Struthio camelus: one gene and its partner. The protein of the gene in region 1 purifies or fractionates together with the protein of each later gene. This does not show direct contact. Links are inferred from orthologs where the notes say so. Each region holds a gene or a part of one and is shown in the gene's direction. Other genes may lie near its edges.

Evidence for each region.
Region 2: the proteins of leukocyte immunoglobulin-like receptor subfamily A member 3 (region 1) and PTPN6 purify together in Homo sapiens (affinity purification with western blotting; 3 studies listed by BioGRID and IntAct, with this or other methods). This does not show direct contact. The link is inferred for Struthio camelus from reciprocal best matches to the Homo sapiens genes LILRB2 and PTPN6.

What each region holds. Positions count from the first base shown.
Region 1 is NC_090975.1:213,485-220,944, forward strand, and holds the start of leukocyte immunoglobulin-like receptor subfamily A member 3, read left to right. Parts: upstream 1-4,313; 5' UTR 4,314-4,787; exon of another isoform or gene 4,788-4,938; intron 4,939-5,381; exon of another isoform or gene 5,382-5,518; 5' UTR 5,519-5,600; intron 5,601-6,013; 5' UTR 6,014-6,194; coding exon 6,195-6,415; intron 6,416-6,577; coding exon 6,578-6,613; intron 6,614-7,027; coding exon of another isoform or gene 7,028-7,058; coding exon 7,059-7,306; intron 7,307-7,460. Other genes in the region: histone H2A type 2-C, read right to left, coding at 2,089-2,478. UniProt on the Homo sapiens protein: Receptor for class I MHC antigens. Recognizes a broad spectrum of HLA-A, HLA-B, HLA-C, HLA-G and HLA-F alleles. Involved in the down-regulation of the immune response and the development of tolerance.
Region 2 is NC_090942.1:90,534,610-90,542,456, reverse strand, and holds the start of PTPN6 (tyrosine-protein phosphatase non-receptor type 6), read left to right. Parts: upstream 1-4,772; 5' UTR 4,773-4,912; intron 4,913-5,117; exon of another isoform or gene 5,118-5,120; 5' UTR 5,121-5,208; coding exon 5,209-5,222; intron 5,223-7,847. Other genes in the region: ATN1 (atrophin-1), read left to right, coding at 10-190, 795-828; C1H12orf57 (protein C10), read left to right, coding at 2,981-3,035, 3,117-3,311, 3,451-3,599. UniProt on the Homo sapiens protein: Tyrosine phosphatase enzyme that plays important roles in controlling immune signaling pathways and fundamental physiological processes such as hematopoiesis.

The sequences.
Region 1 (7,460 bases):
AGCCCGCTATTTGCATCCCCGCGCGCTCTCGGCCAATGGGAAGGCGCGCCGCGGAGCCCTCATTTGCATAGCGCCGCTAGAAAGCCGCCGCCGCCGCCGCCTCCTCCTCACTGCGCTCTGTTCCCCGGCGGCGGCGGCAGCACCGGCAGCACCGGCACCGGCAGCGGCAGCACCGGCAGCGGCAGCGGCGGATGCCCGAGCCGGCCAGGCCCGCGCCCGCGCCGGGCCCCAGAAAGCGGTGACCAAGACGCAGAAGAAAGGCGACGAGAAGCGGCGGCGCGGCCGCGAGGAGAGCTGCTCCACCCACGCGTACGAGGTGCTGCAGCAGGCGCGCCCCGACGCGGGCATCTCCCCCGAGGCCGCGGGCATCGCCAACCCCTTCGCCAACGCCGCCTTCGAGCGCGTCGCCGGCGAGGCCTCGCGCCTGGCGCGCTACAACGGCGCTCCGCCGTCACCTCGCGGGGGATCCAGACGGCCGCCCGCGCGCCCGCTGCTGCCCGGCGAGCGGGCCAAGCACGCCGCCTGCGAGGGCAGCGAGGCCGGCGCCGAGTACACCCGCTCCAAGTAAAGCGGCTCCCTGGAACGCAGGGTCTGCTCCCCTCGGCCCCACGGCTCTTTTCAGAGCCACCCACCCTCTCCTAGCAGAGCTGTAAACCTTAAGAGCCCGTTTTCCACTTTATCTTATAAGATGGGACTTCCTTGCTAGGGATGTTCTTGTAGAAGTAGCTGGGATTGCTCTCTAACCTGTAAATGCTGCTTCATGCTGCATGTAAGCAGCATCTTGCACTTATAACTCGTCTTAAATTATTCCTTACCTACTACAGCAACACAAGAAAGTAGTTTTATTAGTGCTAAGGGAGTAGAAGCTTCTTTTAGGTGTCACGTTTTGTGCATCTTGCACGTTGTGCTTGTTCGTGTCTGCACTTAGTGCCCTGCTCGAACCGCTCTTGGGAGCTGCCTGCGGGAAGATGCATTTAGCAAACAGAAATAACTTCCTTTTCTGCAGGATGTGCGTTTCCAGGCAATGCTCTCCCTGCCTTTTAAGGGTGCTTAATAACCTGCTTTTTGGGGATGATGATGCTGTTCCTGGCCAGGGTGCTTGTCCTGATCGTCCCACTACAGGTTTCGGCGTTGCCTTGTGCGAGGGGGGGCTCCCGGAGAGGAAGGAGCAAGAGGTGGGCAATTCCTTTTGGAAGAAATGGGATTTCTGTGCTCATTGGAGGAATATTCAACTATTTTTAAAGGTTTTGCTTGGCAGAGAGCAGCCTGCCAGCGCCTGACGTGCTGACTTGTTGCCTTCAGGGTATTTCCTTGGTGCAGCTTGGCAGGATTTGGGCTCGGATTCCCTCTTCCGAGGGGATAGTTCAGGTCCCAGGGCAACGCTTTGGCCCATGTTAGCAGCTTGGGCCAGCCTGAAACTTCCTTAAATCCCGGGGGATTTATTGGTGCTTTTCCCGCAGCATGAGCGTTAACCACAACCAGCAACTGCCGAACGTCGTGGCGTTAAATGCCGCTCATGGGGAAACAGAAATGTTATTTCTGGGCTCTACTGTGGTTTTGGAGATGTTTTTTTTGGCCAGCCATCCGCTGTTTAGGGAAAAGCGGGACTGGAACTAAGGTACCAGTGTGGTTTTGGGGAACGCAAGGATCGGCGCAGTTTCCCTTTGCTGATTTGCGTGTCCTGGGACTGAGGAATGGGGAAACACTTTGCGAACGGACTCACCGGTGCCTCCTCCACCTTCAGGGACCCCCGTTTTTGGGGATCTCACCGGTGAAGGGAGGTTCTCAGCTGCGTTAGACCGAACAGTTGTGTGCAGCGCAGCAAAGCAGGAGGCACAGGGGCTGGCAAGTCTCCAGACTTCTGCATAAACCATTGCAACCATAATTTGTAAGGATTTAAGTCAAAACGCGTTTCCAGGTTGGAACGCTGCTGCGAGCCTAGCACCAAGCACCTTGCTCTGCAAGCCCCAAACCGCTTCCAGCTCTTTTTCTGAAACAGTGGGTGGCTCTTAAAAGAGCCTTTGGATTCAAAAGCAAAAAGAAAAGCTTAGGGCCCGCTGATTAAACTGGCCGGTCTTCGCAGAAATGTTACTTGCCCTTGGCTTTGTGGCTCTCGGTCTTCTTGGGCAGCAGCACAGCCTGGATGTTGGGCAGGACGCCGCCCTGCGCGATGGTGACGCCCCCGAGCAGCTTGTTGAGCTCCTCGTCGTTGCGGACGGCCAGCTGGAGGTGGCGCGGGATGATGCGCGTCTTCTTGTTGTCGCGGGCCGCGTTGCCCGCCAGCTCCAGGATCTCGGCCGTCAGGTACTCCATGACGGCGGCCAAGTAGACGGGGGCGCCGGCGCCCACCCGCTCCGCGTAGTTGCCCTTGCGCAGCAGCCGGTGCACGCGGCCCACGGGGAACTGCAGCCCGGCCCGCGACGAGCGCGACTTGGCCTTGGCGCGCGCTTTGCCGCCCTGCTTCCCGCGGCCGGACATGATGCCGCCACTACCGCCGACCGCCGCCGCGGCTCGCCCTTTTATAGCCCGCGGGGGATTGAAACCGCGCGTTCTGATTGGCCGCCGCCCCGCTCGGCCGCCGAACCAATAGAACGGCGCCCTCAGCCCGGCTGTCTTTCCTCCTGCCCAATAGCGGCGCGCGGATTGGAGCCGTCTCGCTTGCGATGCTCGGCGCGTAGCCGAGCTGCCCGCGCCGGAGGTTATAAAGGGAGGGCGGCGCGGCGCGGCGCGGCGGTGCAGACAGCGGCGCCCGCCAGCTCCCCCCGCCGGCTTCGGGCAGGGAAATGCAGCTTATACGGCGAGCTTTCGCCGTTTGAGATTAAAAGCCTCGTGCACGAGCTCGCTGTGAGATTAAGCGCCAGCTACCGGCTTACCTTCCCGCTTGAGGAGAGTTTTAAGTGTTTAATTTATTTTTTTTTCTCTTTTTCTTTTTTTTTCTTTTCTTTTTTTCTCTTTTCTTTTTTTCTCTTTTCTTTTTTTCTCTTTTCTTTTTTTTCTCTTTTCTTTTTTTTCTCTTTTCTTTTTTTTCTCTTTTCTTTTTTTTCTCTTTTCTTTTTTTTCTCTTTTCTTTTTTTTCTCTTTTCTTTTTTTTCTCTTTTCTTTTTTTTCTCTTTTCTTTTTTTTCTCTTTTCTTTTTTTTTTTCTCTTCTCTTTTTTTTCTCTCTTCTCTTTTCTTTTGGTTTTAAACCCTTGTGGCGCACAGCTGTACCCGCCCCGCCGCACCAAGCGGCAGCTCAGCCCCCGGCCCGCAAGGCTGCCTCGCCTCGGAACGGCGGCGCTGCACGCTGATTGGCCGCCCGCCGAGCTGGAGGCGTTCCCATTGGTCCGGAGGCGAGAGCGGCCAGGCCGCCAAGGCGGGAGCCGGGGGGGGGGGGGCGGTTCTCCCTCAGGTCCGCCCCGCTCCTATATAAGGGAGCTCCGCCCACCGCCGCCCCGCAGTTAGGGCTGGGGGAACATGTAGCGTGTGCCCGGGCTTGGGTTTTGATTTGCTTCATAACCGTTTGTTTTCCCCGGGGTTGTGCTGCAACGTGGTAAAAACACGGCGTTTTATCGCTCGAGTTTGGCTCAGAGCCTTATAGGGCACCTGCGCGCCTTCCTCCTCCTCCTCCGGTCGAGCATAACCTGCCCCAAAGCCCCGCAGCGCCGCCCCCCTTCCCCAAACTCCTCGCCTCGCTGCTAAACACCCTCCCCGTCCTCAGCAGCCCCGTAGCGGCCTTAGCTCGCGCCCATAGGGCGGCAGCGGGCGGCGGCCGGCAGGAGCCCGGATAGCTCAGTCGGCAGAGCATCAGACTTTTAATCTGAGGGTCCAGGGTTCAAGTCCCTGTTCGGGCGCTTCCGCTTTTTATTTCTTCAGCGCGGGCACTGGGTTCCTTCAGCCCTTCCCTGTCCCCGTCCGGCCCCGGCTGCTTCACCCCCGGGCTCCGCAGCCCCCGGGGAGGGTTTTTTTTCCCCCCCCAATCGGTGCCGCCGCCGAGCCGTGTGGGGCCCGGCTGGGGCTGCCAGCGCGGCCCGGTCCCATGGTGTAATGGTTAGCACTCTGGACTCTGAATCCAGCGATCCGAGTTCAAATCTCGGTGGGACCTTGCGGTTTCCTTTTATTTTTTTCCCCCTGCTTTCTCGGGGGGAAATGATTTTTTTTTTTTTTTTCTCCGCTCTTTTTGCAGCTCGTTACCGCGGGAAGTGCGAGCCGGTTCTGCCGCGGTGCTTCAGCGGTGCCCGGCTTTCCGTCGAAGCGACGTTTTTGCCTGTTTAGTTTTTCGTGTTTGAACAAAAAAACCCAACCAAACAACCAAAAACAACAACAACAAAAAAAAACAACAAAAAAAACCCTAAAAAAGAATTCGTCGGGGAGTGAAGCTGGGAGAACGACGAAACTCGCTGCTGCAACTGTCCTGGGAGCTCTGCTCCTTCCCAGCGTGGCCGCGTTGCAGCGGTTTGGGTTGGGGCCGGTTCCCGCCGCGGGACTTGGCGGATTTGCAGAGGGCAAGAAACGCTGAGAGCCGGGAGCCAGGCCCGACACCCCCTGGGTGCCACCCCGTTGGGTGATGCTCCACCACCCGCCTTGTGCATGCCACCAGGTCAGGGACCGCAAGCGCCACCCCAGGGTGACATCACATCCTGACCCGAAAGAGAAAATAACCAGGTGGAGGGACCACTTCTTCCACCCTCGCCTCTCCCGCCGGGGGCGGGGGGCACCCGGGCACAGCCGCCGCGGGGTCCAGGCTCTCCCAGTCCCTCCCAGTGCTGCTGCCCCCAACCCCGTGCCAGGGGACCAGTGGAGGTGACCAGTGAGTGGCCTCGGGGAGTGACAGGGGGGATGCTGGGGACGCCCTGCCCCAGGGGTTTGGTGGCCCACGGAGGGACAGGACCTGGTGGCAGCAGCCCTCAATGAGCCTCGAGTCCCTGGCGGGCTGGTGGCGCTGAGCGGGGTGCAGGGAGGTGAGTACGGGGCTGGGGACAGGGCTGGGGACACCGGGACGGGAGTAGGGTCACGGGGAAGGGGGGGTCGGGGAGGGTGCAGGAACACAGATGAGTCTGAGACACGGGTACAAGTATGGGGACAGGGACCGGGACAGGGACGGGGACAGCGGGAAGCGAGGACGGGGATGTGGGGACGTATGGGCGGGGGGACGACTTAGGGGGACGGAGGGACGCGAGCGTGGGGATGGGGAACGTAGGGACGTAGAAACTTGGGGACAGAGGCAGGGATGGGACAAGGGACGCAGGGACGTAAATACAAAGGTGGGGACGGGGGACGCAGAGCCAGTCGGGGGGGGGGAACGGGCTGAGGGTGCGGTGGTGCCACGAGCGCGGGGCCAGGACAAGGGGTGCAGCGATAACGCGGGGCCGAGCCCCAGCTCGCCGCCGTCTCCCCGCCCCAGACCTCCGACCCTCCCCGTCGCTGCACCCCAGCGAGGCGGTGGCCCTGGGGGGGGGACACCGTCGCCCTGCGGTACCGCGTGCCCCGGCCGCTGGGACCGGGACGAGGTGGAGGGATACGGTCGAGTTCTCGCGGAAGGCGCCGGCGCGGAGAGATGCCGGTACGAGATCTTGGAAACGTCTCGGACCTCGGAGACGAGTGATCGACCCCGTGGAGTTGGGTGAGGACCTGGCTGAGCCCGTGTGGGTTACGGGGGTGCCAGGGGTTGGGGGGGGTCCCGATGGGGCAGCGGGTGCTTGGAGCCCTCTTGGGAGCTGCAGTGGGTCCCTATGGGTCTAGGTGTTCCCCACAGAGAACGGGCTGTCCCTGGGGTCCGTGTGGGGCAGGGCTTTTTCTGGGGTGTTCTGCAGCCAGGAGGTCCCCATGGGATGGGGGTTGTCCCTACGGTGTCCCCATGGGGCTGCTGTCTGTCTGTGACACTCTTTGGAGCCTGCTGGTGACCCACTGTTGGGGACCATGTGTGGTGGCCCCCTAGTGTGACCCCATGGGGGAGCGCTTGTGATGTCCCCCCTCAACCATGACCCCCTGTTGGGACCTGCGTGGAGCGCCCTACGCGTGTGTCACCCCCGTCAGGTGCCGCGCGTGTCGCCGCAGGCGTGAAGCCGCCCTTGGGGACGGCGTGCGGCTCCCCGCGCGTGTGCCAGCCCTTCGGCGACGGCGTCTGCCGCTCCGTGTTGGACGCCCCTTGGGGGAGGTGGGCCACCACCCTCTGGCGTGCCAGCCCATCGGGGACTGCCAGTGCCTCCCTGGAGTGATGTCACGTCATCCTGGCCTCAAGGGGAACCGAAACCATCTCTGTGGCCACTTCCCTTCCTGCTCTTTCACCTCCCATCTGGCTTGGGGGGACACCCAGGCCCAACCGTGGTGGGACCCAGTCCCCCCCCCCCAGTGCCGCTACCCCCAACGCCACGTAAGGACCTGGCTCCTCCTGCCCCACGGCCCCGATGGTGGTGGTCCTCCTCCTGCTGGGCCTCGGTGAGTGATGGGGTGGGGGAATGGTGGGGACAGGGACACCCTTCCTTTTGTGGGGGTGACAAGGATGCCCTGCCCTTCGAGGGGATGGTGGGGACCACCACCAGCCCCAGGGGTTTGGTGGCCCCCGGCAGCAGCCACCAACGAGCCCCATGTCCCTTGCAGGCTGGTGGCTGGCGGCGCCAAGTGGGGTGCAGGGAGGTGAGTACCAGGCTGGGGACATCATCGGGCTGGGGACAGCAGACCAGGAGTATGGTCTTGGCGGGGGGGGGGGTGGACGGGGAGGGTGGAGGGCAGGGGGATGTGAGTACGAGTGTTGGGACAGGGGCAGAGTTGGGTGGGGGACATTGGGGCCGCCAGGACAGGGACCCGGGGATGGGGACAAGCCGGTGGGATGCAGGGACACGGCTGGGAGCGCTGGGCCGGGGGCTGCAGCGGGGACGCAGGGTCGGGGGCCGCAGGGCTGCGAGTCGCAGGGTGGGGACAGGGGACGCCGGGAGATGGCTGTGGGGACCGGGAAGGGGAAGAGGGTTAGGGGATGAAGGGGTTCAAAGACGTCCTTAAAAACACGGGGATGGGGACGGGCCCCAGCTCACCGCTGTCACCCTGCCCCAGACCTCCGACCCTCCCTGTCGCTGCACCCCAGCGAGGGGGCGGCCCTGGGGGACAACGTCACTCTGCGGTGCCACGTGCCCCAGCCGGCTGCCAGGGTCCTGATCTACAAGGAGGGAGATGGGACCTACCAATGGTACCGGGAGAAGGTGGAGGATACGGCTGAGTTCTCCATGAAGGTGTCGGCACGGGGCTATGCCGGGAGATATTGGTGCCTGTACGAGACCCTGGAACCGTCCAGGACCTTGGAGATCAGTGACCCCGTGGAGCTGGTGGAGCTGGGTGAGGGCCTGCTGGGGCACCCTGCATGCGGAGGGGGGTCCCTGGGGGGCGCCCGTGTGGGGCTGGGAGTGCTCGGGGGTTCCTCCATGGGTGTTGGGTGGTGCTGGGGTGTCCCCTGTGGTGTAGGGGGAGCCGGGGGTTAGAGGATACCCCT
Region 2 (7,847 bases), on another chromosome or scaffold:
TGGCTGCAGCTGCACCCTACAGGGACCTGCCGGGGTCTCTCTCTGCACCCATGTCAGCAGCACATCAGCTCCAGGCCATGCATGCACAGTCAGCTGAACTGCAGCGCTTGGCTCTGGAACAGCAGCAGTGGCTTCATGCCCACCACCCTCTGCATGGAGTGCCGCTCCCTACGCAGGAGGATTACTACAGGTGCATGGGACCTGCTCTCTCCATGACACTGGGCGAGCAGAATGCTTTCACTTCACAGTACAAATCTGGACCTGGTCATGGCCTGAGGATGGCAGAAGTGGGATCAGGGAAGCATTTCTCCTTAAGTGGTTGGCTCCAGCCTGACCCCCACATCTGAGAGCATGGATTCCTTGCCACTGGGGCACAGCTGTGGGTTGGCCATGACGAAGGTCATTCTTGGCAAGTGGCTCTTCAGTGGCCTGTAGGCTAATCTCTTGTATGGGGTCTCAGTTCCTTTCGTTGGGGAGTAAACTTACCTGTTTCGCACATGCTAATACAGTTCTTGCTAACTGATACCCTTGCAAAAACAACAGATGTTCACAAGAGTTGGATGGATGGTCTGTCCTAAAAAGGGTTCTTGCAAGTGCACAGGGAAGCGTACTGGGACAGGGAGAGGTGCAATATTGTACCTTTTGGATAGCATCTCCTACCTCAAGGATTTGGAAAACTTTCCAAGCCAGCACTGTCATGTGGGACTAGACTAACCAAATGCAGTGCACAGTACTAAGGTAGTTCTCCTTCTCTCTTTTTTCTCTCACAATCACCTTGTTCTTCTTTCTCCTAGTCACCTGAAGAAAGAAAGTGACAAACCCCTTTAAATGGACTCCTACTCTCAACGCGACATCATCATGTCTTTCTCTTAAGAGGAGCAGTTGATCAACCAAATCCTGGGGGAGGGGAACCTACACATCCTGATCCTACAGTGCAGTACAGTGCAAGAGCAGAATGGATCAAGAGTACAGGATGGCATCGTGGGAGCAGAAAGGAGAGGAGAGAAAATGGGGAGGGACTGAAACACCACTAATGGACATGGAATGATTGGTACATGATTCCAGCAAGGCTCTGAAGGAAACAAAATTAGCAATGCAGAGAGCTCAAAAAGACAAAGACTGATGGAAATTCAAGATTGGAGCTGCTCCATCCTTTCTTTTGGGGGAACAGTTGCATTAAATAAAAACAGTGCAGAGCATCACAGGAGTTCATGTACATGATGCTGTTGCCCTTTCTGCTTCTGTGAGGAGATGTGGCCAAGAAGTAACTCAAAAACCTGATGGAGCTTCTTTTAAAGATGCCTCCTCACCCCCCCCCCCCCCAACTTTAGATGTAAGATACAGCTAAGTAACACAAAAAAGCAACATGGAACTTTTTCAAATTAGCCAGGGTGGCTTCCCATTCTCCAAAATCCTGTCAGATACAAAGCAAGCATTATGGGACCCCTTCAGAAATGGCCACTCCTACCTAACCGCTCAGTCACTGAGGGTCTGGGTCTAGCTGTGAGGTGCAAAGCACCACGAGACTTTGCGAGACCTGAGACTGTTTGCGAGACCCAGTGGCTGTGCTTTCCTACGCCTCGAGGGAATGGTTAGGGCCATGAGGTGCAAAGCACCGGGAGACTGTTTTAAAGACTGCAATTAAAGACTGCAATCGCCTCTATCCCTTTGAGCCCCATTGGGAGAGCTGACATGGCCAAGAGCCCCTGCATCGCCCCATTGGGAGAGCTGACATGGCCAAGAGCCCCTGCATCCTGGTACTCTCTTCGCGAAGGTGGCTGCCCCTTTCCCCTCACCCATTCTAATTGATGTACTTTTAACTCATGCACATCCTATTAGACGTGGCAGTTTTATGTAGCAATTTGTGACTCCCTTATCCCGCGTGCGTGTCTGATTTCACAGTTGTATATCTCGATTGGTCCCCATATATATATTTACTTAAACATTAAAAAAAGGAAAAAAAAAAGAAAAAACAACCAACAACCCAACTATGGAAAAACACCCGAACAAAGTTTCCCACGCACTCCCAAGCCTCAACACACATTCTAATAATTTATATATATAAATATATATATGAAGCTCTTAAAAAAGAAAAACAAAACAAAAAAAAAAACCCTTCCAGAAACAGTCTGTTGTGTTCGTTTCTTTTCTACTGGGGCTAGGAAGCGATCTGGAAGTGCAGTGAAACAGCACACCTGCAGGGGAGTTCAGAAATGAAGTTCTCCCTGGGCAGAGGAGTAAAGATGGGGGATACCGAAACAGGCCGAGGAGTGGCTGCGATGCAAGTCGCTGCAGGGCCCGGAGGGTGGCGAGAGCCGGGGGCACGGCCGGGACGAGAGAGGCCAAGTGTCGCTACAGGAAATGCCAAAGCAGGGCCCGTGCGGGCGCCGCACGAGGGAAGCCCTCCTCGGCGGCGGAGCTGGGGGATCGGCCCGGCCCGGCCCGGCCCGGCCCGGCTCGGCCAACCAGCGCAGAGCGGCCCCGGCCCGGCCGCAGCGCAACACCCCCGGCCCGGCGGTGGTCACGGAGGCCCCGCCCCACCGCCGAGGGGCGGGGCGAGCGCGCCTCGGCACCAATAGGAAACAGCTTATTTACATACTACCCCAAATACGTCCCAAACCTCTCTTTTTGGCTATTATAGTCATCGGCAGCGTGGGTCAGGGAGACAGACCTGTTCGGAAGGGCGCAGAGGCGCTAAAGACGGAGGCTGAGCGAAAGATGTGGCTCGCCCTCACCCCAAAGACAGTGCAGCTCGCGTGGGCCCCCGCGCGGGGGCAGGCGCTGTAGTGATTTCAGCTCTTTTAGTATTTGTCCAGTAGGTTTTCCGCGGCGCGGGAAGCCTCGCTGTCTCGTGTAAGGGCAGAGCGGCTGCCGCGCGTGCGCGGGGAGCGCCCGCCTGGTGGCTGCGGGGGTGGGTTGGCTCCGTAGCGTGGCCGTGCGGGGGGGCGCGCAGCCGTGAGTGCGCGGCCCGCGGCGCCCCATGGCGGCGTCGGCGCAGGCCCCGGCCGCGGCGCTGAGCGCCGAGCAGGCCAAAGGTGAGTGGCGGGGGGCGGCGTGGCCGGGAGCGGGGCCCGCCGGGCGGGCGGGAGGCGGCGGCGGCGGCGGCGGGCTGGCAGCGGTGCGTGTGCCCGCAGTGGTGCTGGCGGAGGTGATCAAGGCCTTCGGCTCGCCGGAGAACGCGCAGCGCATGGACGAGGCGCGGGACAACGCCTGCAACGATATGGGCAAGATGCTGCAGTTCCTGCTGCCCGTGGCCACCCAGATCCAGCAGGACGTGATCAAAGCCTACGGCTTCAGCAACGACGGGGAAGGTGGGTGCCCGCCGGCGGGGCGGGGCGGGGCGGCGCGGCTCTCGTGTCCGCGCCGCGGCTCCCCCGACCGCCGCGGCGGGGCGCCGCTGCCGCAGCCCGCGGCTCAGCCGCTCTCCCCGCCTGCCCGTTTCCTTTGCAGGCGTGCTGAAGTTTGCCCGGCTGATCAAATCCTACGAATCTCAGGACCCGGAGATAGCCAGCATGTCGGGGAAGCTCAAAGCCATGTTCCTGCCGCCCATGACGCTGCCCCCGCACGGGGCTGGCCCCGGGGGAGTGGCGACCTCGTGAGAGCGGAGGCCCTGTGCCGTCCCGGCCCTCGGCGCTGGCAGGGCACGGCTGGACAGCGGAGACGCTGCTCTGGGAGGAACCAGGCTGCTTTGTGCGCCTTTGTATGTCTGCTGGTGAATAAAAGCTATCTGGAAAACAAACCTCGTGATTTCTGAACGGACCTGGGCCTAGCACTGCTCTGCCGGGGCGGGTCCTTTTCTCTGCTGCAGAGGCGGTTAGAGCAGTGTCCACCTCATGACTGGTAAAGCCTGTGCTAATGATTTGAGAGGGGGAGGGCTCGTATGTATCAAACTCGGAAAAAAGATGCTTGCTCATGCAAGCCTTGGCCTGAAACCACACCACCTAGTATTAAAGCAATACTTTTTTTTTTTTAAACAAGATTTCAGAGGTGCTAAGCCTTATCTAAGAACAAGCGTTTACAAATGAGATATTTGACATGTTTTAGGTAGTGGGTTCATAAACATAAGCTAGTCCCTAAGGTGTTCTTCAGCAAGTGGCCTAAATGCAGCTCAGACCCCTGTCACCAGGCCAGTCAGCCATGCTAGTTTGTTCCTCCCTGTACACTGCTAACACCAGCTTATATAGCTGCACAGTTGTCTTCTAGCTGAATGTGTGATCAGACATATTAGACCTAATGTAAAAGGCTGCAGAAAGGTGAAGCAGGGACGAGCATGGCGAAGGAGAGCTAGCCTTGCCCCTTTTGGCTGCAGCCAGGGTTAGAGCAACATAAACATAATCTAGAACTGCATCATGTGCCTGCCAAGACCAGAGAGAGAAACCAACCCAGGGGAGCAGTTCCTCTCAAGTTTGAATCTTTGTATTTGTGACTTGATTCAAGTGAAGGGGCATCAGGTACATTTGACTGTTGGTGGCCTTGCAGCTTGTATGGGTCTCTTGCCCTTAGATGTGTTGACACATTTGGGAAGGGTCAGGGTGGGTTGGGGTGGAAGGGCTGGGAGAAGAGGGAGCTGAGGGTCAGGTGCTGGAGAGCTGTGTGTAGTTTTGTTTTCTGCGTCTTTCAGCTACAAAGGGCTGAGGAATGTAGCCAGCAAGGGCGTGAACTTAGTGGATAGGAGGCAGGAAGAACAGTCAGTCCCTTCCGTCTCCATCCACCTCTCCCAGCTTGGGCTTGGCCTCCCCCCCCCCCCCCTTCTAATTATTTATTAACTACAGCCCAGGAAGTGTTTTGTGAATGGTGAAAATCAAACCCTTTGCTTGAGGCCTGCTGTTTGCCTGACCTGGAGCTACCTTCTCCTCTGTCCACACCAGAAACAGGCCGAGTTCAGAACTCTTCCCGTGCGGATCAGATACAGGTGAGTCATAGGGCTTGCAGCAGACCCAAAGCACTATCGGCTGCTCCTTCCGGAGCTGTGGAACGAACCATGGTGAGCATCCAGCCATGTCTCTAGGGTGGTCTAGGTCTTGACTTGCTCTGTCAAGTTGTTTGATCTCTCTCCCAAGTCCATTTCAGATACTACTGTGTTGATACTTCCAATACTTTTTTTTTTTTTTTTTTAGTAGGACCCCCTGGTTAAGGGCTGTGGTACTCCCTCCACCTGCTGCTTGCTGTTAGTCCCCTATCTGTGGGGATCTGCCGGTCAAGATCCCAATGCCATCCTGTGGGTGAGTGTTGTGTATGCTAGCTAGGGGTAGAAAACAGTGTTGTTGGTGAGAAAAAAATAATGGAAGTAAGAATCAGGTGTAGAGGGGAAAAAGAACACCTTATACTAGGAACTACTGGAGAGCTGGAGGACTAGGTTCACAGTGAGTTAGACTGCTGTCGCTGCTGCTCCTCCTCACTTGTATAAAGAGAGAGAAGAGTTTGTGATGACCAGTCCAATACAACTACTTTTCTGCCTTCTGCAGGCCCTGCAGCTGCAGCATTTCAAAACATTTTTGTACAGAGAGAGATCAGGTGGCAGACCTTTTTAAAGCCTGATTATTTATTGATTTGTTACTGTCTTTAGAGTCTAATTGACAAGACACATGCTCTTCACCGTCAATCCAAATGGGTGCTCTGTTGTTGGGACGTCAGCAACATGGTATAAAGAAATGGGATTAGCACCAGGGTTAATCTATGGTTAGGTTCTGCTTGGGCAGCCACTGTGGTCCAGCACTGTCCTGTGGTCCTGTAGCCTGCCAGAGAGCATCTGGCTTGGGCAAGTCCCAGGAAGATGGTCCATCTGCCCATTCCCCCAGAGCAGATGGCCTTTATCTGGCAGCTCTAACAGTGCAAGAATGCTGCAGCTGAACTACTATGTAGCTCTGTGTAAAACTGCAACTTCCTGCCTATGCTTTACCTTGGTGCTGAGAGTTACCGGGTGGCAAATGCAGTGCTGATTTTTAAAAAGGGTTCAAATGAGAACCACAGACCAATAAAATTGATATCTAGAATGAGCAAGAGATTAGACACTATAATAGAAAAAGGAATGAATATGACATTAAAGAAAGAGTCCCTATCTACTTTGGTAAAGGCAAATCTCGTCTTGAAAAAACACTGGAGTTCTCTGAGGGACTTAGCAAGCTTGTGGATAAGGGAGATCTGGCTGATACAGTTTGCTTGGATTTGACAAGTTTCCCCTCATCAAAGACTTTTAAAGAGAACTAAAGACTTTTTAAAGAGAACTAAAGCCATGGCATAAGAGAGAGGAAGATTTTTTTCTTGAGTAAAGAATTAGTAGAAAATAAGAAATGGAAGATGGGCATAAATATCCAGTTTTCACAGCAAAGGGTAGTCACCAGTGGTCAGATCACTAGGGTCTGAGCTGGGATATGTGCTGTTCAGTATATTCCTAAATGACCTGGAAAAAGAGGGTAAACAGTGAGATGAGAAAATTGGCTGATGGCAGAAAGATATTTAGGATAATAGAGTGGGAGTCAACTGTGAAAAACTGCAGAACGAACTTATGATAGAGAATGGGTGGGTAATAGAACAGCAGATGAAATTCAAAATGGGTATATGTAAAGCAATGTTCATGGAGGAAAATAATTCAAACTTCACCTATAAAAAAAGAACTCTGAAATGATCATAACCTCTCTGGAGTAAGACTGTGATCTCATAATACATAAGTGCATGCAAATGTTAGCTCAATGCTCAGGTGCAGTGAACAAATAAGCAGAAATCATAGTTATGTCTTTGTATATGTCCATGTCTCACCAACATCTTGAATGCTATGTGCAGTTCTGGGGTCCCACTTCATCCTCATCTCCAAAATGATATAGCAGAGTTGGAAAAGGCTCAGAGAAGGACAGTAAAGATGATTAGAGATGTAGAATAGCTCTGTACACAGAACATCTAAATAGGGTTGGAGTCTTCAGCCTGGAAAAGAGCTAAGGAAGGAATCAGAAGTTACAGGTCTCTAAATTCATGAGTGGCTTGGAGGGAGTGAGTAGGAACCAGAGGAATCAGTCATTGATTTTTTCTTTCATTACAACAGTCGGTTGTTAATAAAAATGGGCAGGGAACAGGTCATAAGCAAACCAAAGGAGGTGGTGGTTCTGTAGTTCAGCAGTGGAACTGCTTGTCAAAGGATGCTAAATATCTTGTGGATTCAAAGATTGACTCTACAAGTTAGTGAGGGCATTGTCCAAGTGAGCCCTGAACATCTCCAAGACTGGAGATTGCCCAGCCTCTCTGGGCACCTGTGCCGTTGCTGAACCACTCTTGGGCAGGAGTGTGTGTGTGGAATTGTTCCTATATCTATTCAGAATTTCTCTTGATGCAAGTTATGCCTGTTGCCTCTTGTCCTTTTGCTGTGTCCCTCTGAGAAGGATCTGGCTCCATCATTGCTAACCTCTCCTTCCCTGCCCCTTTAGGTAGTGTCAGACTATTAAATCCCTCCTCAATCCCTCCTCAGCCTTCTCCAGGCTGAACAAAACCAGCTCCCTCTGCCTATCTTCATGTGTCTCATCACTGGACTTTCTGCAGTTTGTCAATGTCCTTTTTCTTTTTTTTCTCCCCAGTAGTCCATATGTGAGCATCTTTTAATTGGCTCCTTCATTTATCCTCCTTTCTAAATTGATTCCTGTGCCCGTTGTGGCCTAGCTCCACAAAGGATTTAGAAGATAAGGTTCTACAGTTTGTGTTGTACTGAAGGCCAGACTACACCATAAGAATAATCTCTTTGATGCTGAAATCTCTTGACCTGTTAATTACATGAAGAAAGTATTTCAGTGGCTCAATTAGTTTGTTGTTGTATGCGCCAACTTTTACAGAGAACAGCTTCAAAGATACCAAGCAATTGCTTC